Linked DNA regions of Bombyx mori. The protein of the gene in region 2 purifies or fractionates together with the protein of the main gene of each other region. This does not show direct contact. Links are inferred from orthologs where the notes say so. Each region holds a gene or a part of one and is shown on either strand. Other genes may lie near its edges.

Evidence for each region.
Region 1: the proteins of PHD finger protein 14 (region 2) and high mobility group protein 20A purify together in Homo sapiens (affinity purification with mass spectrometry; 3 studies listed by BioGRID and IntAct, counting the BioPlex papers as one, with this or other methods). This does not show direct contact. The link is inferred for Bombyx mori from reciprocal best matches to the Homo sapiens genes PHF14 and HMG20A.

What each region holds. Positions count from the first base shown.
Region 1 is NC_085114.1:10,481,919-10,486,044, forward strand, and holds the start of high mobility group protein 20A, read right to left. Parts: upstream 2,801-4,126; 5' UTR 2,652-2,800; coding exon 2,378-2,651; intron 2,284-2,377; coding exon 2,124-2,283; intron 2,025-2,123; coding exon 1,891-2,024; intron 901-1,890; coding exon 794-900; intron 677-793; coding exon 569-676; intron 218-568; coding exon 58-217; intron 1-57. UniProt on the Homo sapiens protein: Plays a role in neuronal differentiation as chromatin-associated protein. Acts as inhibitor of HMG20B. Overcomes the repressive effects of the neuronal silencer REST and induces the activation of neuronal-specific genes.
Region 2 is NC_085115.1:7,808,776-7,813,017, reverse strand, and holds the start of PHD finger protein 14, read right to left. Parts: upstream 2,801-4,242; 5' UTR 2,725-2,800; coding exon 2,721-2,724; intron 2,548-2,720; coding exon 2,383-2,547; intron 1,915-2,382; coding exon 1,784-1,914; intron 1,407-1,783; coding exon 1,295-1,406; intron 941-1,294; coding exon 812-940; intron 586-811; coding exon 503-585; intron 347-502; coding exon 192-346; intron 1-191. UniProt on the Homo sapiens protein: Histone-binding protein. Binds preferentially to unmodified histone H3 but can also bind to a lesser extent to histone H3 trimethylated at 'Lys-9' (H3K9me3) as well as to histone H3 monomethylated at 'Lys-27' (H3K27ac) and trimethylated at 'Lys-27' (H3K27me3).

The DNA of each region.
Region 1 (4,126 bases), on a different chromosome or scaffold from region 2:
ACATAAAATGACAATTTACTCAATAAAATTAGTGTTGAATAATTACACATTGACTACCTGGTAAAGCTAATGTCTGAAGACCTTGCACTAAGGCTGCGACCAGACTACGTTTATGAGCAAGCAAAGCAGCAGTCCTTTCAGCTGCTGCAGCTGTTTCAGCTCTGAGTTTCGATGTAGCGCCGCTTACCTCTTCTGCGTGACGATGTAAGATTGCATTCTGATGTAAGTACAAAATATGTATAAAATTTTTAATCATTATCTATATAAGCACCATTTTAGTGCTTGGTAAGATTGAAGTATAAATAACAATAAATATTGTGGTGTACATATTTTTTGGTAGGACAGGCCATCTGTCAACAAATAGGAAGCCGAGAGACATAGAAGTGAATAACAACACCCATCTTGAAAATTGTAAATATGGCTGAAGTTCTATCTTTCAAACAAGAGTCCATGACCACTAGCTCCTACCAAATAGGTAAGATGGTGGTACCAGTGAGTGCCAGTCAGTCATCATAATATGCTATTAAATACTCATAGAAAGCTGCTGGACCATTCATGCTCCATTTACCTGCTGTTCGTAATCTGAATTTGCCTTTCTTAATTGTCTTAACTCAGATTCTCTCAGTTTGTTATGTTGCAGAAATTGATCTGTGAAGATTGGTATTTCCATTTCACCCTGTAACAATAAATTTACTACTTTACAAAACTTTGTTTACCTTCCAATTTGAATTTAAGTAGGTATTCAACAATTCTTTATGCTTTTTATGCTGACAATATAAACTGCAGAACTTACAGATGTAGGATTAATACATGGTCTTGGTCTTGGTGGGGTAGTCTGACGTGAAGACATGTTTGTTGTAGAAGCACTATACACTGTACTTTCTCCTGGTTGGGTACCCCCTATAAGAGTAAGTGTAAGTATTGTTAGTTTTTTGTCAAAGCACTTTTTTCATCAAATAAGTTGCTGGATTAATTTTATATATATATTACGTAATAGTGAAATTTTAGTGTACTTCAATATTCAACATTTTTTAACATTGTATTACAACATCTAGTTTTGCAAGCATGTAATGCCTATCTGTATGAATGCTTAAAGAGCTCCCCTTAAACTGAATTTAATATTAATGTTACTATGAATTAATCTCATGTAAGGTACAAATGGCACTATTTTCTTTATAAAAAGAGCAAATGAGCTCACGGCTCATGTAGGTTTATATGGCTAGAGACGTAAACATGGATGTCTAAATGCTACTACAATTGTATTGTATAACAGCTGTCCTAACCATCAAACTAATGTGCTAGATTCTTCATGCAAGATCGTAATACCAGACGTATGCTTGGTCTTGTTTTTGAGAAATTGTTGCGCCTAATATTTTTTATGGATTATATGGTTCTCTATTGATTTTTTTTTTTATTGCTTATATATGTGGACGAGCTCACAGCCCACCTGGTGTTAAGTGGTTACTGGAGCCCATAAACATCTACAACGCACATGCGCCACACACCTTGAGATATAGTTTTAAGGTCTCAGTATAGTCACAACGGCTGCCCCACCCTTCAAACCGAAACGTATTACTGCTTCACGGCAGATATCGGCAGGGCGGTGGTACCTACCCGTGCGGACTCACAAGAGGTTCTACCACCAGTAATTACGCAAATTATAATTTTGCGGGTTTGATTTTTATTGCACGATGTTATTCCTTCACCGTGGAAGTCGATCGTGAACATTTGTTAAGTACGTATTTCATTAGAAAAATTGGTACCCGCCTGCGGGATTCGAACACCGGTGCATCACTCGATACAAATGCACCATTCGTCTTAACCTTTAGGCCACGACGACTTCGTAAAAAGAAAAGAAAAAAGAAAATTTTAAAAGAATATTGGATTTACCAGAAACTGAAGCGTCTACTTGAGGAACCTGCCGTAACTTCTTTGATAAGCTACCATCTTGCAGATCAGATTGTTGTTTTGTGAACTCTTTATAAGCATTTGTTCTTTTGTATTCCGCACATTCTTTAACATATCTGTTAATTTAAAATACACTATTCGTATTTAAAATAATTTCAAATATATATTATTTACATCTCATGAAATTTAAATTAGGTACTTGATTAATGATTAACCTTTCTTTATCCTGATCTGCAGCATCTAAGTATTGTTGTTTTTCTTCAGCTGGAAGTCTACTCCACTCGCTAGCTAACTGTCTGGTCAATTCTGCAAAACCCAAATCTGGCTGTTGTGCTCGCAACTGATCTCTTCTCTCATTTAAAAATCTTACATAACCTTAAATATGAATATTCGTTTGTCTTAAAATTGTAAATAAAAGATTTTAATAAGGAATTAAGTAAAAATAAGACATCTAAAATAAGAGCTAAACCTGTGAGAGGTTGACGGGGTGCAGTTGTATCGCGAGCTGCTTTGGGTTTTCTTTTTTTGGGCTTTTTAGGTGATGTTTTTGGAACTTCTTTTAAAGCACCCGCCGTGTCAATCGCAACGGGCGTTTCAGCAAGCACATGAACATTAGATACTATAGGCACTTGAGTCAAGCTTGAGTCAGTGGTCACAGGTTTCGGGTCTTTTTCAATATTAATAGGCTGCACTTCTGAATTCACTGTATTTACAACGTCCGATTTTAAAGAATCGCTTTCCATTGTTGTTTTACTTCAATACATCCAACACAATACAATAACTATACTTAAACACTTTAATATCGGATTTTGGTTTAAACTAAGTAGAAAATAGGTATAGATAGGTAAACAAAGCAAAACCCTCAGCACCATAGATTAAACACTTAACTTTTTTAAGGGATTTTACGATCTGGTAACTAAGACCTTTAGGTCAAGTCTTATTTGAATTTATCCCCTGTTTTCCAATCACAGCACAAGAGCGCATTATGCGGCATAATGCCCAACTAAGCTTCAGCATAGGTAATTTCCATATATAATTTGATTAATATTTTACCTGATTTTTTTATTTTTAACTGATTTTCTTTTAATATTAATAATTAATTGATATGAGTCAAATGTAAGAGAGAGATAGAGAGACAGAGAAGTGAATATATCCCATAGACCTATATAGTAGGGACACGACATATTGTTCTATACGTACAATTGCTTATATAAATAGCACCCATTTTGAAGGCACATACATAAACATATATCTATCTCGTTCTTACTCAGCACTTTAACTCGCAGGAAAACAATATAACAGTATTTCAGTGCGTACATAAAATGAAACATGAATATACGTAAATATCTCCGTCTCCGTCTAATGAGGCCGAAAATCCGCCATGTTTAGCGCGCCAAATGTCATTGTCACGTCAGTTCGGCCGTCTGTTTTGGGTTGTACATTATTTATTGACTTTGATATCGATTTAATATGATTGATTATATAAAATTTCATAATTTATCATGCTTAAAACATACAAAAATAATAATTAAAACGTATTTTATAGGATCTCAAGAAAGTCGATGCCCTAAAACTATTATCTATATGTATTTAAATTCATTATGGAGCCCTCATCCGAAAAATCCATTTTTCGGTCGGAATCTATTGATCATGACACCATAGATTATACACTTAATAATCTATTCATCATGACACTAATCATAAATACCACTTTAAAATATGTCATCAAAACATATTTAGACATTCTGTTTAGATATTTCGGGAAAAAGGTTACCGACAAAATCTCTTCGGAACTATTTAACTAAAATAGTTTTATTCCGCAGTGAGTAAAACACTATTGTAAATTTGTTAAATATTTAATAATTAAGTGATTTTAGAGAGGAAGTCACAAGGAATGACGTTTGTAATTAATGAATAAATGTTCTGTAGGTGTTTTTTTTTTCACGCGGTCCCTTGATAAGTTTAAAATTTGAATCACTCTCAAGCGAAAGTGATTCAAATGGTGCGGCGCACCTTCCTTGGGGTGCATTGCGGTAGTATGTTACGGACTTTAGAGTCAGCAAAACAATTAAAATAGATTGTTATAGTCTAAGAAAAACACATACTCAAAATACGATAACATTTAGCATGCTAGAAATGGGCTGATGGCTTGAACTACGCCATATCTTTATGTTTTGCGACAAACGACAACTTTATAAAATCAGTGTAGCAACTTTTA
Region 2 (4,242 bases):
ACTATCAGCCCCAAATTGACCTCACTATAGTCAAATATTTAAATTTAAATATGTCTGATAATATTATAACCAGGGGAATGGGCGAATTATGCTTATCAAAAATATATATAAATTTATAAGATTATAATGATCTTGCAAGCTCTTTACTCATTGTACTGTTACAAGTAATAATTAAAGTTAAATTAATTTACCAAGTTACATGGAAGAATGTTTTACACAAGCCAGCATCGCATCCCACACACACTCCTGTACGTGCCAGAGTCACGTCTTCACATAGTGCGCAAGAACGTGCTCCCCAACGAGAATAAGCCATTTCGAAAAGAGTCACACCTGATAAACGTTCTACCTGAAATAAAAAACATCATCTCCACTTTTCTAAGGTAATTTGGGATTTAATTTACTAGCTGGAACATTCAAATTTTATTAGTAAAGAAGATTTATTTTAAATCGAAGAATTTTTAAAATAATATGTCACTATGGTAAATATTTATTTATAACTTACCTCTGAAAATGCAACCCCAGGGACGTAGAGTGCACAAACCAAATGCACCCAAGCACCCACTTCAGTCTCCTTGAAAATCCCACCTGTTGTTTTATTTATTATTTATCTATTTACTTTACGAGATGAAATGAAATAAGTCCAGCAAAATGTACAAATTTCTTTTTTTAAATTACTATTCAGTGGTCTCAAGAATCAACGTAATTCAATCAAGAATTTAACAGAATAATCATTGTATAGTTAGCTTGTGAGTGAAACATAAATGTAAGTTTCGAAACTTTGTTTCTATCAACAAACAATTAAAATTTGTACCTTTGTTAGGGCATAATTCACAGTTGGGATCGGTGACACCAGCCTTACAAGCTTCACAAAACCATGGTTCAGTAGATGCTGAACTAACTGTACTTGATTCACTAGTCACATCAGAAACACCATAACAGCCTGAAATGTATTAATAACTAAAATTGATTTGGAATACTTTAAAAAAATGTATGTAGATTAAGTTAACTTTCAATTATAATCAATGACCTGTAATTTAAAAAATTTAAGCATGAGCATTGAAGACAAGGGGTTTATAAATACAGTCTGAATAATTTTATCCATTGTCATAAAAGTTAGCCGTACTGGAATCAATTTATAATAGAAGCAATAATGCTCTTTTTATATATTAATTATACTAGACCGGCTGGTGGCTGTAGAATGAATCAATAAAATAATTTTCACTTTTTTGTTCATATTTAGTATAGAATTATTTGATGAGTTTATATGTGTGCAAAAAATAACTAAATTATTTACCCTCATGAACAGTAACACCACAACCATCACACTCAACAATTTCATTGAAGTCATCACTTCGAGAGCCTAGGCACCCAGCACAAATCAAGAGATTAGCTAGTTCACCTGGAAACTACATAGCAACATATTGGTAAGGTATTCATATACAATGAAAATTTAATAGTACTTTACAGAAAAAATATAGTACGATTTTTTTAAATCTAAAACATAATTAGGTGAATCATTATGTTTTGCTGTCTGGCTCTAAAAAAAGATTGTAATAGTCTTAAAAGCTAAAACTGTAAGTTAATTAATCTTTAAAATTTAACTATAATACTAATAATTTATATTTTTTATCATAAAATTTTATTCTAATTTCATCTGACCATAGATCTATATTCCCTGGATATTTTCTACCACTCATGATCAACTCTTTTATAGCCAGTATTTTCAAATTTTGAATTCAATAAAAGTTTTTTTTTACATTATATATTATAACATACTAATTACCTTAAACTCATGCTTTTTAGCTTTCTCAAGAACATCTATAGCTGAAGCTTCTTCTCCAATCTTATTGCTAGACCCTTTGAAGTCATCATCATCTGATCCAGTTTCCTCTTCAGAAGCATTCTTTTCATACTCTATACAATCCCAGGGGAGTAAATAAAATAATGTGTTTAGACTCTTTTTTTGCCTACCTATTACTAGCAACTTCAAGATGCTAGCTTCACTGAACGTGTAGCAAGCTCACAGGCCTCAGCCTGGGAGACTTTACTAACATCTGTCCTAACAAAAGCAGTGCTTTGCTAAATATTCCACCAGATAGGAATTGCGGCCCATTGAGAAGATCTGGTGAGAAACTCAATGAGCTGTCTGTGGGTCCATTTTCACAAGGAACTCTTCATCGCATACGACGGGTTCGACGTGAACGGTGACCAGTGCTTGGAATGCCTAAAAGCACCATGAACGACACGAAAGGATCCGAAATCACATATTTATCCATTAAATAAGATCCTACTCCCCATTGGGAGACTTAAGGTTGAACAAGAAGAACAAATTAAAGGAGGCGTTTTGAATAATTTATAAAAAATACTTTACAAGCCACTTACTTTTATCGTCATCATCACTATTGATGGAATAATCATCACTCTCTTCTGGATGATCTTCAATACGAAAGTCAGAATCATCTGAGCTTTCGCCTTCTTCGAGGTCAAAATCTAGCAACGATTGAGGCTCTACTGGTTTTACTTTTCTCTTAGCTGGACCTCGATCTTCTGTGAAAAACGAGCAAGCAAAACATAAACAAAATTGAATTTTAATGTATGAACCTAACATATTGATTTTAGCATTCTAATTCTAAGTAGGCTCGAGCATCAGCGTTTATGAAGTCGACGCAATCAAAATTAAATAAATGTTTAAATTCTATTTCAAAAATTATGAAGCTTACCCATCTTGTCGCACAAAGCACAATTAAGTGTATAATCTATGGCACAATGTGTACTTCACAGATTAGTTTCAAATTGAGAGTAGCTAGGTGACACATGGTGTATCATCTATGATTAGTTCCGGCTTGTGAGCTGTGATAAAAATATCGTGATATTTAGAATTAGGAAAATATTTAACGTAGCCACTAAGATTATTTCTCATGAGAAACAACGACGGCCTGAAAAATACCCTATGGTATACCTACATTTCGTATATGAACTGTTGGAATTTGAATATGTAAGTAATGGCAGGCAACACTTGACACATGTAAGATTACAGTTTTCGTATATTGGAATGTTTATTTAAATATTTAAAACAGATGATTGTCTTCTCTTCAGTGAAGACAAAGACTTCTCATCTAGACACGGACAGTGCAGCATCTTAGGATTTTATAAAAATAAAATATTGTAATGGTTTAATAGTGTACAGTGTGTTTGCAATATATGTTAACCATGAAGCAAAGTGTTTTTAAACAGCTTCTCACCTCCAGAACCCGATCCCTTCAAATAGAACCGCCCAATAAGAACAACAAACATAACACCGTTCTAAGTTCTAAACCTGAAACGCTAAAAAATTTATTAACTTTCTTTTTTTACTTTTGTGGCCTAGTAACGATACTTCATTCACCTTGTTAATGCGTAGCAACTAAAAAGTTCACTACCTAGATGTGGTACCTAGTGGCGTTTTTAATAAAATATGGCTTAAATAAATCCAACTTCCCACCACACAGAACGACGATTTTTTGTGTCCAAAGATTCATCCAATACCTTTCAAATTTTTTTACAAGATGACTCTGTAAAACCGTTGCTAAAGCCACCCTACACCGGTCGCATCTAGTCAAAAACGAGAATCATAATCAGCACAGGAGACTGATATTAATATGTAAAAGTGTATCTCGATCGTAAAGCCCGCATTTATAGAAGCTATCATCAGATATTCCTCAAACAAAACAACCAATAACGATTTCAGGTAAATGACCAGTGCTTCAAGAGGATGTTACGCAATCAGAAACAATATCTACCGCATTGTTAACATTTCCAAATTTGTTGAAAATTTTAAATATTTTTCCCTTACTACAAAATAAAAATTTTTAATAAAATAATGAGATTTCATACAGCGTGGCGACATTATGGCGAATAAAAAGGCCACTAACACATTTATATAGAAGACTTCAACTTATTTGGAGGAAGTAAAAAAAGAAAAGAAATAATGAAAATTTTTCCATTTTCTCCTTTTCTTTTCGACTTCTTCCAAATAGGTTGAAGTATTTCTACTTAAATGTAGTAGTGGTCATTATAGTCTTCACGATGGCTACAAAGAGTAAAACAGTGAAAATAGAGCTTTCCAGAGCTTTTTCCCAAACCTATTTAAAGCAGTAATCTTTGCCGATTAACTCCAAATCTAATATCATAATTGTAAAGTTAGAAATTTGCTTTGTAATTGATGCCATGCGGAACATTTGTTGGATTACCTAATATTTGTTG